4 linked regions of the Lonchura striata genome follow. The protein of the gene in region 1 interacts with the protein of each later gene in a biochemical or structural test. Links are inferred from orthologs where the notes say so. Each region holds a gene or a part of one and is shown on either strand. Other genes may lie near its edges.

Evidence for each region.
Region 2: of the proteins of CHUK (region 1) and NFKB1, one has a biochemical effect on the other in vitro, tested with the Homo sapiens proteins (3 studies listed by BioGRID and IntAct). The link is inferred for Lonchura striata from reciprocal best matches to the Homo sapiens genes CHUK and NFKB1.
Region 3: of the proteins of CHUK (region 1) and COPS5, one has a biochemical effect on the other in vitro, tested with the Homo sapiens proteins (2 studies listed by BioGRID). The link is inferred for Lonchura striata from reciprocal best matches to the Homo sapiens genes CHUK and COPS5.
Region 4: of the proteins of CHUK (region 1) and MAP3K1, one has a biochemical effect on the other in vitro, tested with the Homo sapiens proteins (3 studies listed by BioGRID). The link is inferred for Lonchura striata from reciprocal best matches to the Homo sapiens genes CHUK and MAP3K1.

What each region holds. Positions count from the first base shown.
Region 1 is NC_134609.1:37,312,734-37,319,555, reverse strand, and holds the start of CHUK (inhibitor of nuclear factor kappa-B kinase subunit alpha), read right to left. Parts: upstream 3,020-6,822; 5' UTR 2,947-3,019; coding exon 2,890-2,946; intron 2,821-2,889; coding exon 2,726-2,820; intron 1,307-2,725; coding exon 1,192-1,306; intron 1-1,191. Other genes in the region: CWF19L1 (CWF19-like protein 1), read right to left, coding at 3,123-3,267, 3,342-3,439, 4,117-4,236, 4,621-4,830, 5,647-5,726, 6,444-6,555.
Region 2 is NC_134606.1:48,747,439-48,755,267, forward strand, and holds the start of NFKB1 (nuclear factor NF-kappa-B p105 subunit), read right to left. Parts: upstream 3,014-7,829; 5' UTR 2,847-3,013; intron 1-2,846.
Region 3 is NC_134603.1:34,859,636-34,867,602, forward strand, and holds the start of COPS5 (COP9 signalosome complex subunit 5), read left to right. Parts: upstream 1-4,954; 5' UTR 4,955-4,987; coding exon 4,988-5,145; intron 5,146-5,248; coding exon 5,249-5,483; intron 5,484-7,891; coding exon 7,892-7,967. UniProt on the Homo sapiens protein: Probable protease subunit of the COP9 signalosome complex (CSN), a complex involved in various cellular and developmental processes.
Region 4 is NC_134642.1:31,200,074-31,207,803, forward strand, and holds the start of MAP3K1 (mitogen-activated protein kinase kinase kinase 1), read right to left. Parts: upstream 3,014-7,730; 5' UTR 2,999-3,013; coding exon 2,532-2,998; intron 2,159-2,531; exon of another isoform or gene 2,131-2,158; intron 1-2,130. UniProt on the Homo sapiens protein: Component of a protein kinase signal transduction cascade. Activates the ERK and JNK kinase pathways by phosphorylation of MAP2K1 and MAP2K4. May phosphorylate the MAPK8/JNK1 kinase.

The DNA of each region.
Region 1 (6,822 bases):
TTTGTATATATGCTCCTTCTTTTACTGCGACTTAAACCTTAACAGTGTTTCTTGGACTGTTTTTAACAACTCAAAACCATATAAAGAGATGGGATTACTGCATTCACCACTGGCTGACGTTCCCCAGAGCTGTTCCCCAGGTGATTTCTAAGCAAATCCTGATGGGGATTTGCTGCTTCACCCCTCTAGAAATTGCTGCTTCCTGAATCCAGCTGTAATGGAAGGGGAGCACAAACTCTACCAGGTCACCAAGCCACTGCCTGGAGAACTACTGAAAGGCTCCTTTATTTTTGGGTGTTGCCAGTGTGCAGATTGGCAGTTCCCAGTTCAACAGGAATAGCAAAGCTTCAGAATCCCTGGAGGTCCCAGTCCAGCAGAAATAGGCTCACTCCCCATGCTGACTGCAACATAACACTGGATACACATGAATCCCAACCAGTCAGACTCTGAACAGATGGAGACACAGCAGCAAAGCCAAACCTGCTGGGTGGCAGCAGCTGCACTAATGCTAAAGCAGCTCCACGAAAGGACACACCAGGATAAAAGAGTATCTGCCCTTGGCTTGCCCTCTGCTTTCAAAAACACAAGCCTCGTTTCCCACACACATTTTTTTTCCCACTCTACATTAACTTCCTCACACGTGTACCTGATGCCTCAGGGTTTAGCTTTTATATTTTTTAGATTCTCTGCTGCTTTAGGGTGTGGGTTTGAGCTTCACATTATGGGATGGTGAGCTCTCTGCACAGAACAGGGAGACAAAACAATTCCTTCTCTAGCTGGGGACCAAGGACAAGTGATCCAAATCTCAGGCCCAAGAGCACAAACAATGTGGGCTGAAGAGAGAAAAACTAGCAGGATGGGACTTCATGGGCTGGAGCTGTAATTGGATAATTAACTCTAATACGCAAATGGAGCAGAACTAAAAGTGAGAGACCCCGAGAGCAGTTGTGCATTTTGTGACCATTTTGGTTCATCTTGGTGTGCAGCCCTGGCTGGGGTCCTGTGCTGCCCAAGGTGGATCCATTGAGGAGATCCTTTTAATAAATCCCTGCTTTATTCTTTAACTCTGTTCTAGACATCATACCCAAAGAGAGAAGCTCCACAGAGCAGGCCTGGTGACAGGAGCAGCGCTACCACGCCCTGTTTGGGTTAGTGGTATCTGGTTTTTACTGAAAGCCAAGCAGGCATTACCTTGCGGAGGTCGCCCCCCGAGCAATACTCCATGGCCAGGAGAGGAACGTCGTTCACCAGGAAGTTCATCTCCTCAGGAACTTCACAGGCTCTGACCACATTGGGATGGTTCAGCCTAAGCACACAGAGAGCTGGATGAAAATTCTCTTGGGAGAATGAGACAACAGCTTGCAATGTAACCACGTTTTATGTTCCAGGGACAGCTTCTGTTCCCCACAGGAATCCTTACTCACTCATCAGCTGGTACCTACCGTACCCAAATGCATAAAACCCATACCTTGGGAATACACAAACCAGTGACGAGCAGAACTGATGTCTCAAATGCAAGGTGCAGGACTTTGGTGATGGGGATCCAAACTCAAGCTGTGAATTCTTGCACCATCCTGGCAGTGTCATTACATGTGTGTGTGTGTATGTAGGAACAGACTCCCCTAGCCCAGTCATTTCACAAAAACCCCATAACACCTGTGTAACTGCACCAGGCAGGTGAAAGCCACATTCAGAGGGAAAAATTAACTTCTGCAGCTGAATTCCAGCTACAGAAACAGCTACTTCCTGACTGTCTCTAATACACGCTAGTCTTGGGAATTAATATATCCAGATGGAAATGAAAGCAAATTATTCCCCTCTACATCTTCCAAAGCCTCTGGACACCAATGCAAGAGCAGCTCATAACTCAGTGGTTGTTTCCAGCACCCAAATCAAACATCACCCAAGCTTTGACTTAAAAATTCGTGTTCCCTGCAAGTGGTTTCCCACGTCATGGCACACAGTGAGCAGGTGAGGGTAACAAAGCGACAGCAGGAGCTCAGAAAAGCCCTGAACACCAGGGTCACTGCAGGCCTTGGGGAGGACAACTCAGAGCATCCCTGCTCCCACCAGTGGGACAGAGGATTTCCTGCTCCAAGATCTCTCTTTCTCTCTCAGGAGCAGTTCTGTGAGACCCAAACACCCAGAGGCAGCCCCCACATCCATGAGACCAAAGCTGTCCAGCCCTGTTTCACCCACTGGAGAGGGAGGCTGGGCAGCACATAGCATGGACTTTCTCACAAGGAAGTGGAAGGAGAATTTATTCTTTACATTCGGCAGCGTGACAGAAAAAAAAGCAATTCCAGGATCCCCTGGTTGCTAAATCAAAACCAAAAGTACCGCACGGTATGGGAACATGTGGGCGTTCCCAAATCACAACATCAGAACTCAACCCACAGGGTGGTGTGAGTTTGGAGGAATTTCGATGGGTGAATAGCCCAGGTGGCACAACAGGGCAGGGGGCTTGGGGATCACCAGCTCCCAGGCCAAGGCAGGAGCTGGGGCACTGGGATGAGGGATAAAGCAGCACAGGCATGCCAGGTGACAAGAGGCCCAGGGGCTGACCCCCGGCTGTCCCCACAGCGCGGTCCCATCTCCGCAGCCGGTCCGGGGCTGACTCCCCGCACTGCCCGCTAGTCCATGGCCTGACCCCCGGCTGGCCCCTCTCCCTGTCGCTGCCGCCGTGCCGAGCCGAGCCGAGCCGTGCCAGCCGGCCCGCACTCACTTCTTCATGATGTCGATCTCGTGGCACCAGCGGTCCTTGTTCTTGACGCTGAGCTCCAGCCGGCACGACTTGATGGCCACGCGGTCGCCCGAGTCCTGCGGGACACAGCGCCGTCAGCCGCCCCGGCCCGGCCGTGCCCCCCCCGCCGCCCGGCCCGGCCCCACCTGGTGCTGGTACAGGCACACGTTGCCGAAGCCGCCGGTGCCCAGGCGGTCGCGCATCTCCCAGGGCCCGCAGCCGCCGGCCGGGTGGCCGCGCAGCGCCGCCCCGGCGGGGGCCCGCTCGCCGGCGGCGGGCGCGGGGGGGCCGGCCCGCTCCATGGCTCAGCCGCTCGCTCCGGCACTCCGCCCTCACTGCCGCGTCACCGGCCGGCGCCGGCAGCGCGCGCAGCGCCGCCTCAGTCGCGGAGGGAGAAGTCGAAGGGCTGGAAGTCGCGGCGGAAGGCGCGCGCCTGCGCCGTCTCCTCGGGCCGCGGGGCGGCGCACTGCCGCCAGTCCGCGCGCTGCGGCTGCGCCAGCAGCGCCTCGCTCGCCAGCACCTCCCTGCAACGACAGCGCCGTGACGTCAGCGCCCGCCGCCGTGACGTCACGGCGGGAGCGGGCGGGCCGGCGCGCACCTGCCGAACTGCAGCGGGAAGCGGCCGCGGATGCGGTGGAACAGCTTCTCCCCCGAGTCCAGCTCCACGTAGAAGTACGGCGTCCCCGGCTGAGCCACCTGTGCCGAGGGAACCACGGAAGCACAGGATCAGCGCGGCTGGGAAACACCTCCATCGAGCCCAGCCTGGGACCCACCACCGCCCTTTAGCTGGACCACGGCGCTGCCACGCCCACTCTGCACCCTAAACACCTCCAGGGTGGCGACTCCACCACCGCCCCAGGCAGCCCCTTCCTGGCCACCCTTCTGAGAGCAGGTGACAGGCAGACCCTCCTCCCGGCCACTTCAGCTATGCCATGCTCTCTTCTGGGAGGAAATTTGGAAAAATAACCCCATAAACTGCCTGAGGTCAGTGCCTCACCTCCAACAATACCTTCCATGGGAGGAAGGAGCAGTGGGTCACTTCCTGGTGGGATCACCTATGACATTTTGTGGTTTAATTCTGCCGTGAGTGACTACATGAGAACCAGGCAGGTCTCGTTGTTCCTAACCTCATCTAGGTCACCCAGCCTACTACATACAATTTTTGGAGGATGAGGCCATGCTCACATTTCTTAGCTGAGAAATCATCTGTTGAACCTGGGAACTTCTCCCAGAGCAGAATCCTGGTACATCCCCAAACCAAGTCGATGAGGTTCTGCCTCCAACAGCTTGGCCCCACCCCACACAGTGACCTCAGAGGGAAACAGCTTAGGCAGGACACAGGGGGAGCAAAGAGGTGAAATCTGGCCCCATACCTGCGCGATATCAGAGTGCTCTGGGATTTCTAACAGCTCAATCTGCTGCTCCTGTGCTTGTGTAATAAAGGCCTCCTTGATGTCTTCAGATGTACAGAGGTCCAGTGGGACAGGGATGACCTGGAGAGGGAGGACATTTCCATAAAAGAAGACGAGACAATGAATTTGCAGAAAGCCATCAGTCCATCACTGGAGCTCATGGGCTCCTCAGTACAGCTCAGCCTCATCACACAAGATAGGGGAGCACCCATCTCTACAGGCTTAAACTTATGAGACATTTTACCCTGTAGGAGCTGGACAGAGCTGAAAACCCCAGGCTTGAAAGTTCTCAGCACAGCCCTCTCCTTTCTCATCTCTGTGGTAGTTCTGATACAGCTCTGATACACTTACAGACCTGCACACACAGAAACCACCATGATAAACCCCAAAATTACTCTTTGTGTTCATCTGGAGTTTATATTCAGTGCAAGTTTATGTTTTCCCAGAGCAACACCCAAACCATACCTGTAGCTGCAGATGCTGACTCCTATAGTTTCTTTCAAATAGGACATATCTCTTTCCCTTGCTTCTGAAAAATTCCTTTAGAGCAGCCTTGTACTTGGTCACTTCTTCCAGCACCTCTGAAGACAAGTCCACCACTGACTGATAGTGCCCAATTGGCAAAATGAGGACGTGGTCAGGAGACAAACCCCCTTTGGCCAGGGCAAGGTAGCACTAGAGTGAAACAACACACACCAGTTACTCACTGTGCTGTAGGAATTCACCCTCTGACTACTCAGTCTGAGTAGCCACAAGTAAAGGAGAGTCTTTTATCTTGCTTATTATGGATTCTTTATTAGCCATTTTATTTTATTTTTACACTGAATTTATTAATCACTAGAAGAATGAGAAAGAGGCAAAGAGACTGCCAAATGACAAAAAAAAAAAATCTTTTGAATGCCAGAGGAATGTTTTCTTTGCAGGGAAGCTGCTGAGTGAACTTCACCAGTGAGGCAGGAATTTCTTATTCTGACACAAAAATCCACTTAAAAATTTGAACTAAACCTGTGGACAAACCTGTCCCTGTAAGTGGATTATGCTATACAGGAGCAGAAAGTGCATATAACAATGATGGACTGAGCTTCAAAGTCAACATCTTGAAGTACATCTTGGACACCTTTTTCATCTCTATAGAACAAAACTGTAACCAGCCACCCCAGAGAGATCTGGCACTGGTGCATCCTGCTCCCAAAGCAAGTTCCAGCTTTTTTCCAGCTGGAAAAGTTTTGCCAGATGGTAAGAGAGGGCTGGGACAGGAAAAAATATTCTGGCACTGGAATCCAGCTCTGCTGCTGGAACAAAACTGGGCCACACTTCACTTTTTTTTAAAAGCTTATGTGCTTGTAGAGGAGATGCAAAGGAACTGAAGGCAAACCCAAGAGCCAGCTGCAAATAAAGTTTGTTTTATGTTTAAAATCGGAGATTGTTATTTTGTTTTGCCATCTCTTAGCATGATTCTGACCTAGCAAAGCCCATGCTGCAGGTACTTACATGTGTGCCAATACTGACAACCAAGTGCTTCTCCACCTCTGGGCTGGCCAGGCAGAACCAGCAGGGCCCCGTGGGCTGAGCTTTGTTGGGAAAGAAATCAAGGATTAGCAGAAGGGATATTTGTCACAACACAGACAACCTGGTATTTTCCAGACACCCTTCCCAGTTTATAAAGTGCTGAAGGTGTCAGAAGGACACAGCTCTGGCCAGGGAAATTCCAGCAAGAAAGGAGGTAGTGGCAGTCAGACCATGCTGACTGCCATTCTCCTGGAATGCTGTAACCTAATGAAGGAGGAGCTTAGTAGTTCCAGGAGTTAATAGCTGCAGCTCACTAATAAGAAAACACCAGCAAATGATAAGCAAACAAATCAAAATGAGGTAAAATTACTGCACAGGTAAAGACAAGGGCAGATGCTGTCAAACACACTTGTCAGTTCTGGTCTATCCATCACACCCAAAACACCTGGATTCACACCCAAACTGTGATACCTGAGCTGAGCTTTTTGGAAGTGCCATATCTGGTTCAGAGGGTAAATGCCATCAGCCCAACCACAACCACCACAGACCCAAAGAGCCTTGAAACTACACTCTTGACCCTTCTTTCACCTACTGAAGCCAATCTTCCCTTGGAAAAGAGGGATCCTTCATCTTCCTGCATTCCCCCAGCAGCTGGCAGTGACAGAGCTCTCTGGCCAGCTGACACCGACAGCTCAACAGCTTGAGGAACAACTTGGAGTGATGTGGTCCATCCAAGGCCTCGAGGGAAGAGCTCAGGAAAAAAGCATCCTCATACTTACGGGGTTTCTTGGCTTGCTTAGGTTGGGAGTCCCCTCCCTCTTTCCTCTCTGAGGGACGTTTCTTTCCCTGATGCTTGTTCAAGTCAAAGAAAAACTGACAAGCTGGTTCTTCCTGTTCAGGAAATGAAAAGTGAATGAGATGTTCAGTTAGAACTGCATCACAGAATGTGACAGGATATACAAGAATTTGGTTTTTTCCAGAATCGTTTAGGTTGGAAAATCCCTGACAGCCCACCCTGTGCCCAGTGCCCACCCTGTCCCCAGCCCAGAGCACTGAGTGCCACTTCCAGCCCTTCCTGGGACACCTCCAGGGATGGGCACTCCAAAGCTCCCTGGAACAGAATGACCTGTCCTCCTAGTAATGCACCTGCTACAGTCA
Region 2 (7,829 bases), on another chromosome or scaffold:
TTAATGACAACCATAATTATGATCTTATCAACACAGAACTTCATAAAAGGTTCACAGCTTATTTTAAAGGACATCAAATTACAACTTCCACTTCTAAAATACCTCTGTCAGAGCTAAAAGTGACCAAAACCAGGAATTGCCCTTTTCATTACCTGCCTGAACCATTCATTATCTTCTCTTTGTTTTATAATAGCTGTGTTATTTTGTCAGAGAACCAAAAGAAAGCTATCAGTACGTTGAAAGAAAGGATTTTTAACTAACTGTAGAGCTTTCATTAGTTGCTTACATAAACAAGTAATTTTATTTATGACTGATACTCTTGTACTTAGAGTTGGCAAACACAGCAGTGAAAGGTGAAAGTATTTCAGCAAGTAGTTTGGAGCGATCTGTGAAAACACAGTAGAATTAATCAGCATCTCTGAGGACCACAGGTGGATTTTCTCATCACTAGCTATACCAAAAAACCAACAGTAAGCTAGTAAAAGATACATTTTCTCTCGCTGTATCTTTGCAACTTCAAAAATGAAATCTACTTTGCATTACAAGCACCTCTGATAGTAAAGACTCACAGGCCTTCAAACTTAGTTCCCATCTTTCCAGAGTCAGCAATATGCACAATAATATGAATTCCTAACAGAACATATATCTTTGCATGTATTGGTTGCATGTACTCATGAGAAAGTGGCATGGGAAGGTTTTGGAAAAGGCAGCAATGAAAAGGAACCTCAAAAATCTATTAATTAGCAAATTTGCATCAATGATATTTATTTGCAGGTATCTATTATTGAAGTCACATAATGCCACCTCAAGGAAAAAAAGTAAACTAAATTTATTATTGAATTTTTAGAAGTAAAATTTTAAAGAAAACTTACATTTATTGTTTAAATTAATTTTCAAAAGTAAAATACGTAGTAACAGAGAAGTAACCAGCACTGCTATTTTTGAACAAATGAAGCAGGATATCATCAAACGTGCACATAAATGAAACACCAGTGTCTGCTTTCGACCCTGTCTCCCTCTTACTCCTTTTCTCTGTCCCAACACTTTTATCCAGCAGACTTTTCTGATTTCAAAATAAATACTACCAAACCACTACTGAGGTGTTGCCGGAACAAAGTGAATACAGATAGTTAATTTATCTGTTACAAACCTGTTTTTTAAAAACACACGACACAATGCAAAGTGATATAAAGCTGCTCTGTTTTATAATTTTAACTCAAAATGTATTCATTTCTTGCACGAGACAGTAACTACATTTTTTGATGACTCTACCACTGACTGACATTTCTTTCTTTATAAAGGGGACAAAGGGTGGAAAGAAAGCTTTTTCCCTTCTGTTTTGTATTTCAAATTAAGTTCTTTAACATGTCTTGCATAGATTTCAGCACTGAGGTTCCCCGAAATCTCCATGCACTGTGGCACATCCTGACAATAGTATTTCTGCGTAACTGTTAGTTAAATTCTCAGGCCAGGGAAAATTACGGAACAGAGAATCTGTTTCTGGATGGTTACAGACTACGTTTTTCTCTTTCATTTTCTCATAAACTGTAGCCATTTCTGTAGATTACAAAACATTGCTGACAAGATGCTATCTTAGAATGACGTCTTGGTTAACGCTTTCCTAGAACGGGCAGCTACTTTCTTTCATGAAAGAACACAAGTGCTTTGACTGAAATACTATTTCAAAAGTTGATACTACACAGTCCACAGCAGAGAGACTCCAGATGTCAATAAAATCGAAGTGCTCTATTTTCAGCCCTGTTCTGTGAGCTTGACAGTGCTGGTGGTAACACCCTGCAGCATGTAAGGCACAAGGCAATACGGCAAAGAATTCATCCACTTTTCTCTGTGAACAGAGTAAGTGAAAAGAGGACTTCTGGAGCACGAAACATGCCAAATATGATCATCATTTTAGAACTATTTTAAAATATCTTGATAACAAATAATATGTATTTCCTTTAAAACATTATTCTTAAGCGAAGATTTTGAGCATTTTAAGACAGGAAGTTGAAATGCAGCAGATGATCCCTTGCCTCCAAAGTCTTATTCCCCAAATGCTCACAGGCACTGAGATTTACTTATTTTGAAAATACGCAGCAGTACACATGATGATAACGGCCCAAGAGCACATACCTCATGTCACAGAAACAATACTCCGATTCACATTCACGTAAAATAAGTCAGCAGCTCTCCTTCACCAAAGCAGAAAGCACCAAGAGATGAAAAAATAATTGCGATGATGAGAAGTTCGATATTCTTGGGTTTCAAGGTCAAATGTAACTGAGTAATCACTGCAATAACACTCCCGGTCGCGACGAGAACTTTTGGGTTTCACCACTTGCAACTACGTTACGTTTAAAAACCTCACTATTTCGTACCTCCTAAATCAGTCTGCGGCACTCTGGGGCAGCAGCCAAGACCAGCTCACCAGAGCTGCCAGAACCAGCCCACGTTTCCGTGGTGCCCACCTGCACTCCTGAGCCCGGCCGGCGACTGTGCCCCGGCCGCGTCCCAGGCTCAGCGCGTCCGTGTGTCACCTTCGAAACCAAAAGCGACAAAAGCAGCGCCTCCTTTGCCTACGAGCACCCGCTACGCGAGCGGCAGAAGCTGGGCTTGCAAGTTTTTTTCACTTTGCTGTCACGGGCACCCCTTCCCTCGCCAGGAAGAGCCCGGTAACCCAGCAGCAGCAGCAAAGCCGGCATCCCGCCGCCTCCCCGGGCTGGCTGCAGGCGAGAGCCGCGCAATCCCTGCCCCAGCCCAGCGGAATGCCCGCTCCCGCCGGCGAGGACGCGGAGACAGGGGAGAAGGAAGGCAGCGAGTGCGGGCCGGGGCCGCCCGGGGCTCACCGGAGCAGAGCTGGCGGCGCCTCCTCCTCGTCGTGCTGTGCCGCCGGCGGTCCCTCAGCGCCGCGCCATGTAACCCGGCGTGCCGCCGCCCGGCTCCGCGCGGAGTCCCCCCTCCTTTCCGCCCGCCCCACCGGCGAGGGCGCCCGCCCGGCACCGGCCTGCGCAGCCTCCGCCCCTGCCGCCGGCCCGCCGCACTTCCTGCTGGAAATTCCCGCTGACGCTCCGGCAGCGCGGAGGGCCGCGCGGGCGGGGCGGGAGGAGGCGCGGCCGCGGCAGGGAAGGGGCCGGGGCGCGCTTGTACCGAGCCGCCCGCTGGCCACGAGGTCCCCGAGCCGGGGACGGGCTCACCGCCCGGGTGAAACCGCGTAAACACGCGGGTCCTTTCATCCCAGGGCAGTTACGCCGCCGCAAGAATCATCCCGTCCTTGCCCACGCTCCTTGGACCACGGCGGAATTCGCGACATCTCTGTGGATACGGGCCCGACCCGGTGGCTGCCGAAGTTTTTTTGACCTCTAGATATAAAGTTTGGAAGGCGAGAGAGAGACTCTGCATGGGGTGAATTTAACCCCCCTGCCGCAGCGCCTGGCTGCTAGCTGGCTTTCCCAGGCAGTTCATTAAAGGAAATTTTCCGACTCTTGCCGCCCGATGCCTGCCGCCGCTGGGCAGGGAGTACGGGCTGCACGGCACCATTTGTGTGTAGGCTTACACAGTTTCTGACAGAGCAGGCTCCCAGGTAACTTGGCTTCTGTTGAACAGTGCCAACCATCAATAATGTGATTTTAATACCAGAATCCAGGTTTGCAGCATGGTAATCAAGTCTCCCAGACACATTTAACCAAGGCTGAAGCAAGGCAGCTAGAGCCACGTTTAATTGGCACAAATACTATGTAAAACAAGTTCAAATATTTTTATGCTAAATCTTAAAACGTCTGGTTTGCTAAGGGTGACGAGTGTCTCAAATGAGCATCCAGCATAGCTCTCTGAATGTGTGTTTGTGCAGAAAGTCAGCAGCACGCCTCTGCGGAGTTTTGTTATGCTAAGGCCACATAACATGGGGCTTCATGAATGAGATTAACAAAAATCATAGCTTAAAATAAGAATTTAAAACCTCAAACATATAAAGGAACCAAGGAATATGACTGTTGCTTTTTTTGTGTTGAAGCAAGTAATTGTAACCTAGAGCAAAAATATGTTCAAAAGGAAGAGAGGCCAATCATAAGCCACCTGTTGATTGGAACAAAATGAAAGGGGTATTTTTACCAGAAAGGGAGTAGATTCAGATGTTACATTTTGTGTCACATCTCTGTGTTGGAGCAGAGAGACACTATTTAAAATGAGAGCTGAGAATGCAAAAGAGAGCTCGGAGATGAAAGGGATTTTCTTTGCTGTCTTGAAAAATGACATTTTCTACATGTTAGACATAAATATATAGGAAGAGGGAGTAATTTCCTTTTTTTGGATTGCCACTCATGCTCTGTGATGCAATTCTAACAATGCAGTCCCCCATTCTCTTCCCAGTACATACTGGGAGCTGAGAATGACTCAGCATTTCCGAGTAAAACATGTTTTCCTTATTATATGGGGATATTCAAGACCAATATTATTTTTTTTTTAATGGAAGAAAATGCATTGAATTAATAGGAAAGAATTGTGAGGAAAGAATTGTGTCCCAAAGCCCTTGAAGGAGGAAGTCTAGATGGATTTTAAATACAAAGATGTTTCAAAATAAGATTCGTTTGGAAGGAAAGGTGCCATGTCATACCTAATCAAAGGTGTGCTCACAGGGCAAAACATGTATGAACAAGTACCAGGAAATCAGACAAGGTGGATAAATTCCAAAACTTAAGGAGACTTACCTGGTGGATTTATTTTAAAAGGACATGCATTTAAGTACTCAGGCTTAGCTTTCCCTGTGAAATCTTAAGCAGCTTCCACAAAAATCCACAAAAATAAAATCCTCTTCTCAATTATATTTAAAGCATAAATTTGCCTTTTTTAGAGCTTAATACCATAGCTGAAGTGTTATTTCTACTGACACCCACAGTAGTGCCAGGCTGTAAGCCCACACTTTGGTAAAATTATCTTCACAGAACACTCTAGATAAATGTACTGCTTTATAGCCCAGGATTCCCACTTGAAGAGCCAAATAATTCTGCTCCAACCACTGAGGAAATCGGGCAGATAATACAGGCTCAGTGGTTCGCAGTGATGAAGTGCTGCCTGTTTCCTGAATAACACTGGTTTCCACTATTACCATCAAGTTATTTCAGTAGCTGGACAATCTCAGCCCAGAGATGAGGAGCAGGTGATCACACCTGAACCCAAAGGAGCAAATGCCTGCTGTTGAGCTGTTGAACCACTGTGAAATGGTTGCAGCCATGTCTCTGGCGGCTGGGCAGGTGCACTGAAGGAAAGGCTTTCTAGCTGTACGCTTAACCAGGCTGTTTCACCTCAGTCAGGTGGGGGACATTTAAGTTTCCTGATATGCAGATGTAATTTAGAAGCTGAGCCTCTTCTCTGCTTGGTTTGCTCTGGGACTCCAGATATACAGATCTCTTTCCAAGGTCAGAAATCTTTGGCCTCAGTATTTTTTAATCATGTAACTAATGATAGATAAACATCTAAGACAAGCAGAGATTTTTTAAAATAATCAGTCTTTAATTGATATGTCTGGATTGGAAAAACTCATGAAAGTTTCTTACATTATTTGTCTTCTGTTTCTGACGCATGTATTGGAATCAGGATAGGCTCTTTTCATTCCTTTTGACGTAGTAGGTTTGAGGCTAAAGCAGGAAAAGGTAAAGGAAAGTTTAAAATAGCTACTGAGAGACACTTCCTTTTAAAGCTTTCAACTGCCCATCTTCATTGAGCTACTATGCCATACTATCCAAATCTATTTCTGGTCAATCCATTATTTCTTTCTCATCCAGATAATCCAGAACTGCTAACTTAAAAACTGATTTGCCTTACATAGTAGCCAATGATTATCTTAACACACTTCAGTCTCGTAGAAGTTGTCAGTGTTTAGCCAATATTTGCTGTTGGCATTGCCATTGTCTCCTGTAGCTTGAATCCACCACTATCACAGGAAGAAAATATGTTAAAAAAATAAAAAAAAAGTTGTATTTTAAAGATGGTGTCATCTTTCTGAGACTATATATGAAGACCTAATGAAGTTGACAATAGAAACTATATTTGAAAAAAATATTCTAAATAGCCAATGTACATTTGCAAAGCCAACCATTTGAACTGCAGCTAGCAGGGTGTAGAGTTTAATGGTGCTGCTGAATCCCTATGTTGCAGCATTCATGAGAAGTACTTTGTATCATCTCTGTCATTTTTGTTGGATGTTGAACTGGCTGCAATTCATCACATACTTCATCAGAGCAACACCCTGCAAGGCTCTGAACAGTGTGGTGGCTCCTGTAATTACATAGGCCACATCCCAAATGTACCTCTTACTTGCTTCCTCCAGAGCCACAAATCAGACATGGGATCTCATATTAACCCCACTGTAGTTTAGGCATGTATCTCTGCTGAAAGACTAAATTTCTGATGTTTTGGGTAAGACTGCCAGAGCTGAAGGCAGGAGTTTTCAGTAGTGAATAACTACTGGGGGACAGGTACTGGGGAGTTAGTAGACTTAAATAAGAGAACCATGAAGCTGTAGATATGGCTGATGGGTATAATTATCAGAGAAAAGGGAGCCTTTGGAGAGAGCTAGAAGTAAACAAGAAAGGGAACACTGCTCAACATTTACTTACAACTGTCATACATGATAGGGTATCACTTCCTAAAGGACATTGAAAGAGCCAAGTAGAGAAGGCAATTTGATATATATAATTTTTGGAATGGTTAGCCTAGCCTTCCCTTAATTTGTCTGTGTAATGCTATGCCTTCTTCCTTCTTTTCTTTTCCACTGGCAGATGATTACTCCAAAAGTGGTGGTTTATAGATTCTCTGTGAACTTGCTGCAAGGTAGCTGCTCTCAATGGAGCTACCCAGACCACTGTGAGAAGTTGTGAGCTGACCAGTTCATCAGAGCATTGAAGCTGCTTCATGCAGAACATACATTCTCTTCCAAAAGTGTGGCCTAGGCTGGTCCTACTTGGCAGCCCAGGTTTAGTGGCCGAGCAGAATAACACTGTACAAGAGTATGTGCATGTATTGACAGAATAGAAATGGTTGTGTTTGTAGAAACCATTCAGAGAACCATTAGTGTAGCACTGTAGCAATGTGGAGTTCATGCAGATTAGAGCCCAAAGCAAACTGCTCCAGCAAGTGCTGTTACAGTCAGGAGCTGTGCTGTCTGGTAATAAATCTAATGAACTGCCAGTCAGGTCTTCAGAATCTGGGCCTAATTCAGATTGTGAGTGATTCACTTATTGCCACTCAGCTATACAACACCTTGACCAGCCACTGAAGTAGAGGGATGGGTTTCTGCCATTTGAGTTCACTGGCAGCAGGTCTTACCAGTCCACTGCATGCACTCCCTTCTCTTCCCACCTCCCCATGTTATGATTAATATCCTGTGCTCTAGTCATTATTTAATATATGAGATGATTGGGTTCTCTTCATAGTATTTTGCATATCTGAATGATACATACTTTTGACTTCTATCTGATTACATCCATCAGAACCTAGTTCAGGTGCCCAGTTGTTTTCCCAAGGGACATATGTTCTTCTCATTACACAACTGTGGCTTTAGTTCTTCAGCAGTGTTTCACCCAGTTAGCTAATGCAAACAAAAGCAGCTGTTTGTTGTCATTATCACTTTCTTTTGTCACTTTCATGAAATACATGCTCAGTTCAATCTATGAGGTCACTTTGGGTCAGGTGTACTGAGTAGGACCGATGTTAACACAGTATAGAAAGTTAAATTTAGCTAACTTGATTTATATTGCTGCTGTTTTATTGCTGCAGTGCAAGGAAAATTCCAGATAGCTAAGCATTGTACAAATATATAGGGAAGGGGTTTCTTC
Region 3 (7,967 bases), on another chromosome or scaffold:
TTGGAGCCAACAGTACCTACTTTCTGTACCACTAAAATAGCAGACGCAATAAGAATAGCTATAGGTCTAAAATAATCCCAAAATCAGGGATATGAGGAAGCACTGACTGAGAATTAGACACTGATCTGTAAGAAAACATGTAGTGAGGAAGAGCTAATTACCTCTCTTCCACTAGTTGTGTACCTTGCATATTAAACTGGAAGTCCTTCGAGCAGAAATTTTAGCACCTGATTTGCGGAATTTAGTGTATATTGCTGCTTTCAATAACCTCATAATAAAAACTGAAGTCAATCAAGTTCATGTCAATGGAATTGTACTGAAGTTGAGTTAGACTAGTCGTATCAGAACTAAAAATACTGCAAAGCATACCAACTACTTATAGAAAAAGAAAGACAAACCAGCAAGAATGACTGCATACAAGCCTACTCATCCTAATCTCTCCCCAGCATTTTCACTAACTCCACTGGAGAAGGAGTTTTACAATACCAAGCTTACTGGCAAAAAAAAAAAAAAAAAAGAAAAAACTCAACTTAGATTCCACACTTAAAAGAAGCACAAAACTAAGAAAGTTATGAACCTCAAAACACTCCATGCAGCTTAAGCAAAAGGATTGCTTATGCAGGTTCCTGAAAAATCCCATCACATCCACTATCTTAATTAACATGGCAGGTTTTTTTCAGGCTAATTCACTATCTTTAGAAGTGAAGTATGAAGTAAACAAGAGGCCAGTGATAAAACTATATTAGAAAGCAGTTTCAGGAAGAGGACTGATGAACTTAAAAACAGCAACAAAAAAAAAACAAACCACCAGCTCAAAGATAATAAGGTAGCACATAGGTAAACATAAAAATAATGTGTCCAGAGAAACTGAGATAAATTCTCAGTAGAAGCAAAATGGAAATAAGAAAATGCACAAATTCTCTATGATAAAGTGAAGTAAGTGCATGCTAATTTAATTTACAGAATACATTTGTTTGATGTATTCCTTAGAATGTAATCCTTTGAACTTTTTATCTTTTTTATTCATAATATAAAATTATAGTATTTTTACAAAGGAGGCAGAACTAGGCCAGCCCATTTACAATTCCTAGTGATAATACAGGACAATCAATGCCAAAAATAAATCTCCCCCATCTGATTTGTCCTAAATCTTTAATCTCATTAGTTTTGCACACTGATAAAGGATAAAAGAAATCTGAAAGAGGATAAGTTCCTAGGCATGGTAAATTTTATTTAGCCTATTAGGTTACATAACAATAATGATAAAATGTTCTGAAGGGGTAAAACAACTTGTCATACTAAAAGAAGGTGGTTTCACCACCTACCCAATGCTACACAGTCATCAAGAGGAAAATAACCACATGTAGGAGGCACTGTGAGAAGCCTTTCCAAAAGCTCACTGACAGTAACATCTGTATTTCCTATCTCTATTTACAACAGCATTTATAAACTCCAGCACTGTTTCCAAATCACTGTATGGGAATGGTACCAAACTTACTCTGAGAGCTGGCATAAGGAAAGGAGTCTTTTAGTGTATTTTCTAACTAGCATGAGGAGTACAATTAATACTGCAGCATTCTGCACTCCTATCATATTGCTCAAAAGAGCAATATAGTAAGTTAAAAGCCAAAGACAAAACAGTTACAGTTAAACTACACAGGGAATTCGACTGGTGTGAAGAAAGCTGGCAACTCCAGGCCTTGGAGAATACTAAGCTGACTAATGCTACAGCACTGTTGATTCAGCTACCTTTAATACAGCACAATTGCCTGGAAAATTCTTACCAAATTCTTCACATAAATATCTAGACATTTTATGTCTTAACTTCCTTCTACCTGTGTTGATCTTCTTAAAATACTCATGAATGCAAACTCTATGAGATAAGCAAAAATAATACATTATAGCAAAAAAGAAAAATTTCTTAAGTTAGTCTAAGCAAAAGGGTGACAAGCTTCAATGTGACACATACACTGTTAAGTTGCAAAAATATACCAGCATGCAAGCAAATACCCTACTGAATATTAGTCAGTTTTATCATCTACTGTACCATGTGAAGAGATCATGACTAATCACAACAAAAATAAAGAAAGAACACATTTCTATATGAGACAAGGGCTACCACAGCCCTCAGGAGTGCAGTAAACTATCTTGGAAACGACAGCACCGAACTCACAGGGAAATGTCAACTTCATACTGACTTCCCATGACTGCACAAACACACTGAGGCACAGCCTGACACTATAGCACCAATTCAGAGCAAAATCATTTATTTTCAGTTTAGCAATACATTTTAATTCTTTTTGTGCATGTCTAGATCCTTGCAATTACTCGTTAAACTAGCAGATTCAAAACCAAGCTGGGACACATCACTCCATGGGCATGTACAGAGCATGAAAGGAAAGTCAGAATATGCTGTAAACACTTAAAAATGTATCCCTATGCCCTCAAAATTATGAGGTGTAAGCATATTTCTCTAGCTTTCTGGAAAAGAGAGTATTTTGTAAAAGTATTTCTAACAAATTTTTGATAGGATGTAGCTATCAGCCTTTCTTTAGCTCTTGCTAAAGAAAGATAATTTGTATTCCCAAAATAATGCATTATACGAAGTCAAATTCCATTAATCATACTGCTCTTTTATATTCAAGTACTGTCTGAAAATGTCCCATAAAAACATTTTTACATACTTTTTCTTTCAAGAAGATTTTAGATTTTCATAGCCTCTTTTCCTTATTCAGAGTTTGCACAAAAGCAACTCTGAGTAATTAGAGTCACCTAGGTAGACTTCAACTTAAGCAAACATACCAAGCAATAGAAAGCATGCAGATATTCAAGAACACTAAGTCAAGTTTGAACAGGAGATTTTTATTGGATCTATGCCCAAAGAGAGTTAACCATGTATGTCTTTCTATTCAAGGTATCTAAAACATCTATGTCCATATGTATTGTATGCACTATATTTACCATGCATTTTGTAACGACTTTATCACCTAAAGCAATGTTTACTGTATCCCATTTTAATCTTTCCTTTCCCCTCCTAATTGTTCAGGAAAACACACAAAATTTAAAATCAGCACGTGCAAGTAGATTTCATCTCTTCTATGCCACCATAATATTGAAATATCAGCAGGAGCACTGGCAAAAAGGCAATTTCTTATCCACGTGAACTGCAGCACAGGTGGCAAGGAGGGAAATGCTTTAAAAGAGCGACTATATGCCAAGTTTAGTAATTGTACTTACAAGCTATACAGCCACTAATTGTGTCACTAAGAAACACTGTTAAAAGTTTAACCCGAACTTCCTGAGGAATTAATACTGACTGCTTCTGTACCCTTGTGAATGGCACTTAGAATAAGCTACTGCTGCCAGAGACGCGCTCCCTGTACTTTTCTTTAAAATTCATTGCGGAAAAGCACAGATTCAAGGGTCTGGCCGTTGATAAATAATAAACTCTTGACTAAAGCAATGCGATTTTTTCGCAACTGAGAAGGCAGTCTATCCTCTGAACAACGAAGCAACAAGTTTGGCGAGTTACTTTCCCTCCACTACAGGGCTTATCTATTTTTTAGAGTACGTAATTTGATCCAAAAATACACTAATTTCGAAAAACTTTCAGACCCAGGAGATCAGGTTTATTTCTGCGAGAGCGACAGCTCGGGCAAGCGCCTCTACCCCGGCCTGCAGCGCTCGCCTCCCCACCTCCGTCCTCGGCAGCACCTCTGGGGCACTCCCGGAGGCTTCTACGCGCCGGGGAGCAGCTGCGGGGCGGAGATGCGACACTCGGGGCTCGGCCCCTTTCCGGATGGCGGCGCCGTTGTCAGGCAACGGCCGCACAAGCGGCCCCACCGGAGGGCCGGGACCAGCCCGGCCGAGCCGAGCCGAGCCGAGCCCCGCCGGGAGCCCCCACGGGGACCCCCAGACCCAGCGGTGCGCCCCCGCCCCGTCCCGCCGCCCAGCGAACGCCCTTCGCGCCCGCCGCCGCCCGCTCCGGGCTGTGAGCGATGCTGGCGACGGAAGCCCCCGGCGGGGCTGCGAGCAGAGTCCCCGGGCGCCGCGCCGCCCCCGCCCGCTCACCGGTACCGGCAGCCACGGCTCCGTCCGCGCCCCGCGCGTTCCTGCCGGCCGGAACGCGGCGGGCGGCGCCGGCAGCGCCCCCCGCTGCCCCGGAGGGCGGCGCGACCCGGCTGCCGCTCCTCCCGGGCGGGGAAAGGAGCGGAGGGGAGGCGGCACGGGCGGGCTCCCCGGGCTGGGGCGGCGTACGAAGGAGCGCAGCGGGTCACCTGGTCCAACCTCCCCGCTCCGGCAGGGCCACCCTACAGCGCGTGGCGCAGGATTGCATCCACACCGTTCCTGAGTCTCTCCAGCGAGGGACACTCCACAACCTTTCTGGGCAATCTGTTCCAGTGGTCGGTCACCTGCACAGGAAAGCAGTTCTTCCTCATCTTCAGGGCGAATTTCCTATGCAACAGTTTTCTTGCCTCTTGTCCTATTGCTTGACACCTCCCAGCAGAGCGCGGCTGCATCCTCTTGACGTCTTCCACTTTAGACACTTATATACATTGATAATGCCGCTTCTCGGTCGTCTCGAGGCTGAACAGGCCCAGATCCCTCAGCCTTTCCTCGCGAAAGAGACGCTCCCGTCCCTTAAACATCTTTGTTTACTCTCCGCTGGACCCTCTCCAGATGTTCGTGTCTCTCTCGTACTGAGTGGCCCCGAACTGGTCACAGTAATTTAAGAAGCACAAGTCAATAAATAAATGGATATAATAGAAAGGCCTCCGCCCGGCCGGGGTCGCGTTTTTGCGGTGCCGGTTCACGGGGCGAGCGCGCCGGGCGCGGCCGCGTGCAGAGCCGGGCGCGGCCGCAGGGGGCGCAGCGCCGCGCGGCCGGGCCTGCGCGGACCGTACCACCCTGCGAGGTGCCCCCGGCCCGCGCTTGGTTCCGCCGGCGGCCCGGGGCGGCGGTGCGCGGCCGGGAGCGCGGCCGGGCCATGGCGGCGGCGGGCAGCGGCGCCTCCGGGAGCGGGATGGCGCAGAAGACGTGGGAGCTGGCGAACAACATGCAGGAGGCGCAGAGCATCGACGAGATCTACAAGTACGACCGCAAGCAGCAGCAGGAGATCCTGGCGGCCAAGCCCTGGACCAAGGAGTGAGTGGCAGGGGGCGGCAGGGCGGGCGGGCGGTTTGGGCGGTGAGGAGCGGCCTGACGGGATGGCTCTGCCTTCCCTTCCGCGGCCTCTGCCTTGTTGCAGCCACCATTACTTCAAGTACTGCAAGATCTCTGCGCTGGCGCTGCTGAAGATGGTGATGCACGCCAGGTCCGGCGGCAATCTGGAGGTGATGGGGCTCATGCTGGGCAAGGTGGACGGGGAGACGATGATCATCATGGACAGCTTCGCCCTGCCCGTGGAGGGCACCGAGACCCGCGTCAACGCGCAGGCCGCCGCCTACGAGTACATGGCTGCCTACATCGAGAACGCCAAGCAGGTAAGGACAGGTGGCAGGGGGTTCTGACCGCCCCCCGTGGAGATCCTGTGCCTCTTGTGAGCTTCAGGAACATACCTGGGGCGTTCCAGGCTTCCTCCCTCCCCCAGAGAGGAAGTGCCTGCCCGGTTGTCCTGTCTCTCCTCAAACATGGCAGTGAGAACTGTCAGCAGCACGGAACGCAGGGGCCTGTAAACATTTTCACATACATATTTCTCTGACTTACAGTAGGTCATCAGAGGTTGGACACGATGATCTTGGAGGTCTTTTCCAATTTAATGATTCGTTGGAAAGTAGTGCATTCTCCTTCCCTTTGAAAATTACTTTCATTGCTGAGGAAGTGTTCTTATGGCTGCTGGTTGTGCGACATAGTGTGTTTCTAAAACAACCGATACTTCTTTCTAAAAACAGTATGCAGAATTAAATATATGTGTGTGTTGGACTACTTAGTATTTATAGATCAGAATTATGACATTCATTCTTACCTTCTGAGATCTTAGTGTATGGTATGCTGCTCTATTCCATTAAAAAAGACGTTTGTGAAGAAAATGTCAGTGAAGGAATAAGTAAGTTTCAGTGAAAATTAATTATTCATATTTATCATTTGGAAATTTAGATGAACTTGCTTGTCTGTTTTTCGTCTTTGTCACTTTCTATTCAAAGAGCCATGTCATATTAAAGCTGACTATACAGTGCAGTTCTCATGTGCAGAAAGATAACAGAAGTATAACTGTGCTCTGTGGCTGATATGTAAACCAGCACAGAACATCAGAGCACTTCCTGATGTGCTTCTTCCAATACAGGGCAATTCTATGCTAGAAATAAGAGTTGAAATAACTTTAACTCTCCAAGCTCAAAGAGTTTTGATACCCAGTTGACGCATTGATTTTTAAACCAGCTAAAATTAGAAGCCCTTTACATACTAAGTGGATATAACAGAGGAGTATTTGGGTTCTTTTGGAGAGTTGGACTTATGTTCATAGCCATAAATAGAATTGAAGATATGGAAATGGATGTGCATTAGGCTGAATCATAACATCAGCAAACAGTAAACATAATGCAGAGATAATTATGTTCTAGAACTCTTGTTGCAAAAAGTAGGTAACTTGAAGAGATGTCTTTGCCTAAAGATACAGTCATGCTATCTTTAAATAAAGATATATTCATAGAATCCCATTCTTAGGTAGAAATACTGAATTTCAAAGTGGTAAGTATATAGCTTAAAATTATAAACAGCTTGTCTTATGTTTAAAACAGTCCAGGTTTCTGTAGGAGTTCTTATGTGATAGGAAATGTTTATTTCCCCATTGTTTATGTTGTTCAGTTTTGTCTGTAGTTGGTTTCACAATTTTGAAAATGAACTTGTGTGCAAATAAAAGAACTCTACTTTCCTGGTGCTGTGGCAGAGCTTTCATGCTGGCTGTTTCATATTTGATTTTGGCAAGCACTTGTTCCTGGAATATTTCTTTTTATCATTAGGTGCTAGTTAATATGCATCCTCCTATAGAAATGCTTTATAGATGCTGCTGTTCCAGTTAGTTGCTTTTCCATGGACAGGATCTGGCCTTAATGTAGTTTAGATGTATCATTTGGCTTTGAAAAATAACACACGTTCTTTAGTGTTTTGTTGGTGTTTGTCATGCAAGCTGTAAAGAAAATACAAATATTCTTCACCAGTTAAAAAATACAGTAGGCAATTCATGTGTTTTGTCTCATTACCAGAGCAGCCAGTAAACAGTTCCTTAGAGAGGATTACAAAAATGAGGTTCAATGGGTGTTTATTCTCCTCGGTTTTTTTGGCTTTGCTCCTTTCTCTTCCAGTATTTTTAGAGATAGCCAGCTGTATTATTTGGAAACTCCTATTTTGAGGTTTTATCTGAGAAAAAGTTGTCCAAAACTCATAATTTGGCTTTTAAACCGGTCTCCAGGCAATAATTTCTGTCATTTCTGGTGTTTGAAAGCATACCTTTGAAGTAATTTTTTAAACCTACCACTGATCTCATAGTATGTGCCTGTGAGATATGTTACCATACTAAAAAATTAATTCTCTACTGACGTTCCCTACGTTATATGAGGTTATATATACTTGTGTTATATCGCTAAGAAATTTCTCAGCCCTGCTGAGCAGCTGCAGCTCACCATCCAGCTGTGTGGAACCTCTTCTGTACTCCAGCTGTCACTGAAGAAGGAGCCCCAGGCTCCTCGAAGGCCTTTGTTCTGTGGCAGCAGCTGTAGGAGAGAATGCCAGTGCCACTCATTGTACGGTTTCTAGGGAATATTTCCCCACGCGTGGAAATTCCCGTTTATCCTGCCGCGCCTTGCAGTGTGCTGGAAGTGCCGCTGGAGGGCAGGCGGTGCTTTGGGAATGGAGCTGGACGCTGGGGCTGTTTCCCTTCCCTGCTCTTTCTTAGGTCGGACGCCTGGAAAATGCCATCGGCTGGTACCACAGTCACCCCGGCTACGGCTGCTGGCTCTCGGGGATCGACG
Region 4 (7,730 bases), on another chromosome or scaffold:
GAAGGAAAAAAGTAATATTTACATCTATAATTCAACAGCAGTCAGTTTCCCTTCTCAGGTTCGTTTTGAGGATCAAGAAGGTCTTCCAGCATAAAGAGAAACAGAGAATCTATTTAAAAGGAAGTAACTGTAATACCAAAGAGACTGATAGGGGGACTTTGGAGCAAATATATCTTCTAACTAATAGTAGATCCTTACAGGTAAAGTACAACTAACTGCATTCAAAACCTCCCCATAAAACATTCATTAAATTATACCTTTAAGTTTGCCTCTTAATAAATATCTCGGCAACAGCTGGCCAGACAAATTTAATGAGTATTATTATTACTCGCATATCAATTAGCCTCTCTCCTCCAGCTGAAACAAGTCAATATTAAAATGAGGCCATATAGATGTTTTAAATTTTTTAAACAACTTGATCTAAACTTGATTTAAACTACTTGGTCTAATATGTATTTATTGGTAATACAGCACACTGAGCTACATGAGCATGCATGGGTATTTCTGAAGGACAATCATTGTTAAAGTTGTCATGTATTTTCAAGTGCTCTTACAAGAAACTCAAAGTAGACTCACTGAAATACTGAAGAGAAAAGCTTTTGGCATTCGGTATTTTCTAAGATTTGTTAACATTCCTAGTAAAATAGCACAAAACACTTCCAAGTATTTTAAATTGCATACACACTCAATACACTCACTTGGCCAAATGCAGGTACCTAAAAGTAAGCAAAATTGTCCATGTGAAAAGGCAAAAAAATATATCCACAGCTGCTTTGTCATTGCTGCTGTGGGACCAACTACCAATGATGGATGCAGCATTTCAGCACTGATGCGACACACATTGACCTTCCTGCACCTCCAACACTGAGCCTGACTTCCACTTGCTACCACCTTGAGACTCGACCTCTTTAAACATATTCTGATGCTATTTTTTTTTCTTGAAAGCCATGAAACTTGATATAACTGTATTATCATATACAGTACATTATAATACCATGACTTTATAAAAACAAAGATGGTGCTAATAGTTTTTAAAAAGACAAGGCACTCACTAGAACTTCTACATCATTACCCTTCCCTAAAACATCTACAATTTCCTGCTAATCCTTGTGTAAGTACAGAGCCATTTCTTATCTGGACAATCACACTATAAGAAGTATTTTTACACTGCCCTAGGAACAGGCCAAAATCCATCTGAATTGCTGAGAATAAATATAAACAAGTCATCAGTCTAGGAAACAGTTCTTATTACAGTATTCCTATGGTAATTCAACCTTTAAAAAATATTCCTGAGGTTTGACTGACATAAGATGCGACTAAAAAGAAAACACAAGTCACGTCCAAACAGGAATTATATTTTTATGAGGTTTAAATGATTAGCCAAACTGTAAGGCATCACTAAAATAGGTCCCTGGATGTTTAAACTAAGTTCTTAAACTAGAGTCCGCACCAGATAAAACCTTACAAGAGATCCAGGTGAAATTGTCATCTTCACACCAAAATTAAATGGTCATACTGCAGTGCCTACACACACATACACCAGTAAAACCCAGCGAGTACATGCTAAAGCTGAAATGTGTTTTAAAGTACTTAAACTCCTTCACCACGGGCATAAGTTCGCTTTCAACCTGAGTACTTGCAAACATAAATAGGCAAATAGGCAAAATACTGGTAGTTCAGAAGAAAATGGACTTATCAATTAATACACACAGAAGGCAAAGACAGACTGCAAACACCAGGGCGCTGAGTACAACCACTGAAATTTATCACCTAGACGAAGCCACGACAAAATTACTTTCCCCTATTAAAAGAGTGCGGATATTTATGCTTCAAAGTCTTTCCTCTTGTTACTAAAAGAAATCAGTTCTGCATTATCGCGAGGCAGCAAATTAAAATCTGACTTCGGAGAATTCAGGGGGTGGGGTGGAGGGGGAAGGGGAAAATGAAAACATAATAAAGTCGATTACTCAGTTTTGCAGCAAAGCACTCGGCAGCGCCTGGGGAGCCCGCAAGGCAGGCGCTCAGCCGCCGCCCGCAGCCCGGCCCCGGCCCCGCACCGCGCTCGCTCGCCCCGAGCCCCAATGGCTGCTGACACATCCGGCCCCGGCCGCGCCGCCGCCCCGAGCTCACACTTCAAAGCCTTTCGGGACTCCGGCAGAAGTCGAACACAAACGCACCCCGCAGCCACACGGGCCGCCCCCCGCGGCTCCGCTCCGCGGCTCGGCTCCCGCGCAGCCCCGCACCGCTGACAGCTGCGGGCAGCCCGGCCCGGCCGTGCCCCTCCCTCAGCCCCGGGCCAGGTGTCCCGGGGGAAGGCGGGCGGCGGGCGAGCTCTGCTCGCCGCGCCCCAGCGCTGCGCTCCGCGGCCGCTCCTGCCGCCCCCGCATCCGCCACTTCCCACGGCCGGGGGGAACGGGGCGGCGGAGCCCGCCCCGAGCCCCGTCCGCGAGAACAGCCCCGACGCCGCCGCTGTCACACAGCGCCCTCCAGGACCGACCCTCGCCGCCCCTCCAGCCGCCGGCGCCCCTCACCTCGCGGCGGGGGACGGCTCCATCCTCCGCTCCGCGGCGGCGCCCGTCCCCGCCGGCAGCGGCTCCAGGAGCTCGGCGCAGCGGCTGGGGGAGGCAGCCGGACTGGCGGGGCTGGAGCGCGGCGGCCCGGGCAGGTAGTGGAGCAGCAGCAGCGTCTCAGGGGGCTCCGGCGAGGAGGAGGAGGAAGAGGACGAGGCGGCCGGGGCGGCGGCGAGGAAGAGGGGCGCCTCCGGCAGCCGGTCCAGCTCCACGCTCCGCACTTTGCGCAGCTGCTTCCGTCTCCAGTCAGAGCGCTGTTCTCGGCTGCCGCCGCCCGCCTCCCGCAAGAGTCCCCCGCCGCTCCCGGCGACGCTCCCGGCCACCGCGCCGCCTTTCAGGCTCCCGCAGGCGGCGGCGGCGGCCGCCTCCACGCCGCCGCCCGAGGATAATCCCGATGACGAGGCGCGATCCCCCGCCGCCGCCGCCATTTTCTCTGTCGGGTCACATCGGGCTCCCGAGCACCGGGGGCCGCCGGCGGACGGCGCGCTGCGCAAACGGCGCCGCCTGCGCAAACGGCGTAGGGCGGGGGCGGACGGCGGGCGCGGATTGGCGGCGGCGGGCGCCGGGGGCGGGGCCGCGCCCGTAGGTGCCGCGGGGCCGCGCCCCGTCCGCCCCCGCGCAGGTGTCGGGGCGGGACCCGGGCGGGAGCCGCGCCTGCCGCCGCCGCTGCTCCGCGGGGCTGGGGCCGGGCCTGCGGCCGGGTCTGGAGCCGGACGGAGTCCGTCCGTGCGGCCGAGCCAAGCCAGGGAGCCGGTGGAGGCGCCAAGAGGGGAGCGCGGCCCCGCCCCACGCGGCCCTCCCCACGTGCGGGAGCGGCGGAGGCTCCGGCAGCCCCGGGGCGCGCACGGCCGGCCGGGCGGGCTGAGCTCCGTGCGAGGCCGGAGAAGCCTTTCCCGGATCTCGGAGCCCTCCCATCTCGCACCCCCGTAATCTGAGCCTCTCCTCTCGCCAGCATTTCCCCAGCAGCTGGCGAGGGGCCGGGAGGAGCGGAGCGCCCGCGGTGCCTCGCTGCGTACAGCCGATGAATCGCCTCACAAGTGTGCCCCAGCTCACCTGGGCGTCCCTCTCTGCAGTCAGGAGGGAATCAAATGCACATCCTCGCTCGTAGCCACCGCGCGTCCTTCTCCGGGCTGCCCTCAGTTGGCCGGCGCCGCTCCCCCCGTCCTCAGGTACTTCTCCATGTCTGCAAACTTCGGAGAAGCGTTAATGTCTCCTTGTGTGCGCAGGCATGCACATGTAGGAAAGGTTATACCCTGCCACGCACACCTACCGCTGCGGCTGTTTCCTGAGAGACTGCGAGAGAGAAGAAAGGCAGGAGACATCACATGACCAGAAACTTGGGGAGGTTCAAGTAAATTTTCTACTTGTCGGGATTTTCGCTCAACCACATTGGGGTGGTTTTGCTTTTAGATCTGAGATGAGAAAAGGAAAACTGAATATTGCTATGCATACAAGCTTGGTTTTGGGACGGTGTGGTTTTTAGATAAAGTAGAAGTCACATTTTAAAGCACTTTAGCTGAATATTTCAAGCGTATTTTTCAGAATTTGGTGGGTATGCAAGTGTAACATTAACTACGCGTATCAGTAATGATTATTAGTATGGTCAGTTTCCTGGGATCAGTGATTTGATCTGAAGCACTAGTTGAGTGAGAATTACCTTCTAGCAGAAGCAGATTCTTTCTTGCGTTACCTATATGATCAGAAGCTGACCTAAATGTAGGGTCTTTGCTGGAGGATGTGATGAGCAGATAGGAAGAGGTTTTTCCCGTTAGACAAAAGCCTGAGGACACTTTTTGTACTCTGTATACTTAGAGAATAATATCAGTAGGTAAGGCCTTGAGGTCACACTGAGTGAATCATTTAGGTGATCTGTCAAGATGCCACACTACAACCATCCTTGTGCAAGGTTTTCAGTGAAGAGTGCTGTGAGAAGGTCAGTTGTATTCCTTGTCATCTTGCAGGTATAGTTTCTTTGGGATAAGCAGACCATCATCTAATATTCTCTTGCAATTTACAACTAATGGTTGTACAGCTAATGTACAACTTGTAATGTAAATTAATTCATAAAGGTAGCATTTGACACTTAAAGCCTCTGCTGTAAATTAGAGAGAGTATTCTGGAAGATTCCTAGACCAAGACACATTGAAAAAGTGAGGAGGTTACTCATGGGAACAAGATAACAAAGTATCCACTTTGTAGACACAGCATGAAATTAGTTACATGCAAATCAGTGCATTATTATAGTTTTTCAAATATTCCTCTCTGCCATAAAATCACATTTACAGAAAAAAGAAAGAAAATAACCACACAAACCCCTATGCTTTTAAAGACATCTAAACAGAACAAAATGACTAGGTATTTTATAAATGCTCTTAAAATGGAAGAGGAATATTCCTTTGAATAGCAATTGGTCAGAATATAATACAGAGGAGAAGCAGCATATCTTCAATAAAATTAAATCTAGGAGGTAAGGGTATATACACAATGTGTATGACAGTTCTAGGGGACATCTCTCTCAGGGTGTCAAGACTCCAACAAGGGAGAAGGAAACAGAAAATTCAAGGAAAATGTCAGAGTGGCAGTGGGGTACTGAGGAATTCTACACTGTGGTGTATCTGCATGTACACTGAGGTGAAATGTTTTATGGAAAGCAGCTAAGAACAGGGCAAAATATAAAATTCAGGGACAGTGAGAGGCACCACTGTAAGAAACAGCTAAAAGGAGACAGGTGCTGTCACCATTCCTTTTAAGGCATTACTTTGCCTTTTGAGTAAGGCCAGTGCTGTCAAGGTTTTGCATTACTTCTGGATAAGATGCAAAGTGGAAAACTTACTATTCTTCATTAAAAAGTGCATTGTTGTTTATCCTTTGACTAGTGGCTGAATTTCAATTCAAATAAATTACATTCTGCCTATAGTGCCTATAGTCACTTTATTTATTTTCAAAAGTGTGTTTCTCCACAGTGCTGTGACCAGAGAAGGAAACATAATGGATAACAAGACCCGTCTTCCATTCCTCACTCTAGAACACTCTGTAGTGCAGTGCTGACATGAAACACAGATTTATGCACAATATAAAGGCTCTACCACTTTGAAATCAGAAATTGAACATGCTGGTTGACATCTGTGTTTTCTCATTTGCTCTTAAAATTTTTTTTGCACTTAAATAAACAAGCTGACCTGATTGAAAAAAAGTACAAAACTTGCTTAAGAGCTCTGAAAGATACTCAGTTACCTCTTGCACAGATTATTTCTCATTCTATCTAAAACACAGCTCTAGAAGGTAACCTGAGACTTTTAGCAGTTTTTAGTCACAAGTAACAGCACTCAGGGTTTGTTATGAAACAGAGGCCTTTGGCCTCAAATTAGCATCGTGCAATATTTGGAACATCTACCGTTGTACACAAAGAAACTTCTGTTTGGGAACACACTAAGATTTTGCAAGCCAAGGAGTTTCCTTGTTGCACAAAACTTGTAACAGTGTAATGAATAGTCAACAATTTTCAACATGCTAGAGATAGGAATCTGCTGTGCCCCTGAATATATAACCTAGGCATCATCATGCACAAACAGAATAAATATGAGAGATAATACAGTCCATAGCTTCTGGTCTTGACTAAACATGCAAAAAGTGCTTTAATACTGTATACAAACTGGATTCTCCCTGTCTTGTTAGTCTGTGTAGAAAGACTTATCCCCACCTTGATCTTCTATTCATTCTTTCCGTTGTGAGAAAGGGAAAACAAACCTGCTCTTAAGCCAAAATCCTTTCCTGTTTACTCCTCTGTGTAATGGAAAAGTCAAGCAACTAAATGAGAACCAATCTGAGGATCTTTTCATACTACTTTCCTAGGTACTACTGAAATCTGCCGGCATTGCTGTTTTCTGTAGTAATGCTTTGCCATCTTTCTGATGCCATTCTTACTTTATAACATAACAGGTGTACCTTATAACATAACAGGTATCCTTCAGAAAAGCAGGATCCTGTACCACTTCTCAGGAGAGAGAATGTCAAGTAAAACTGGAATCTGTTACAGAAAATTATAGGGGCTTTTGCTCACACACTGGGAATGTCTAGTCTGCTGCTATTTATAAATTTATTTCCTTAATGTTTTACTTATGCTTTTCATTATTATTTTAATGGAAAACACCTTTAAAGATTTTTTTTTCCCCTCACAATTCAGTCCATATGGAACAGAACTTTTGTTAAAAAATTTTTTTGGATCCATGAAACTGAGGGTGATGTTTTGACCTAAGTTTCAGACACATAGTATAAGGAAAGAGCTGTACTTAAATCTTCTTGTTCTCCCAAAGCATGTAATAACAGTTCCCAGATTATTTTTAAGAAACAGTGGTGATGATGCTACTTACAACACTCCTGCATTGTCTAGTTACATTCCTTACACTTAACAATTTTTTTTGCTGTAGCATTTACACATGAACTGGTGAACTTTTTGGTCTATCTACCATATGATCCAAAACAAAAAGGTTATCTCTTCCCAAAGAGTTTGTAATTTAAGTTTGTCTTTTAAGAAAGACAAACAGGCAACAGAGCAATCAGCAAACTAGAGTGTAGTCCTTGTACAGTATATCTGCTGCCTTGATTTTTTTTTATCACTAGTTTGTACATATTGCACTAACTACTGAAATCAGTTCCATTTTTGATGTCAGATAGTCTTTAGAATATTGATAGCTTGACGTCTAACTTAGATATTCTTCTTGGCTGTACTACAGAGGATTTTTCTGGCCTTGAATAAGTCATGATCCTTTCATGGTTCAATTTTTCCCAGCTGTAACTGTGTAACAAATATATTTACCTACCTAAGGCATGACACAAGGCTGAGGGATATAATATTATTGAGTTTCAGGATGAATCCTTGCTCAAAATAAATGTATTAATGAATGAACAAAACCTGTTAAACCTCTTCTCATGCATCATTTACAAAGAACTACTGAAATTATTGCAGCCATAAGCTATTTTTCTTATACTCTTCCAGACTAGTAAAATGACAGCACCTGGGTGATAGTTCTCACCTGGATCAACAATTCCATCTATTGAAAACACCACTATCTGTTCTCTCTTTGGGGGAAAGCAACTCTATGATTTCAGACTCAGAAAAACAGTGATAGCTCAATTTTCCTTCACCCTGCTGCTACCAGT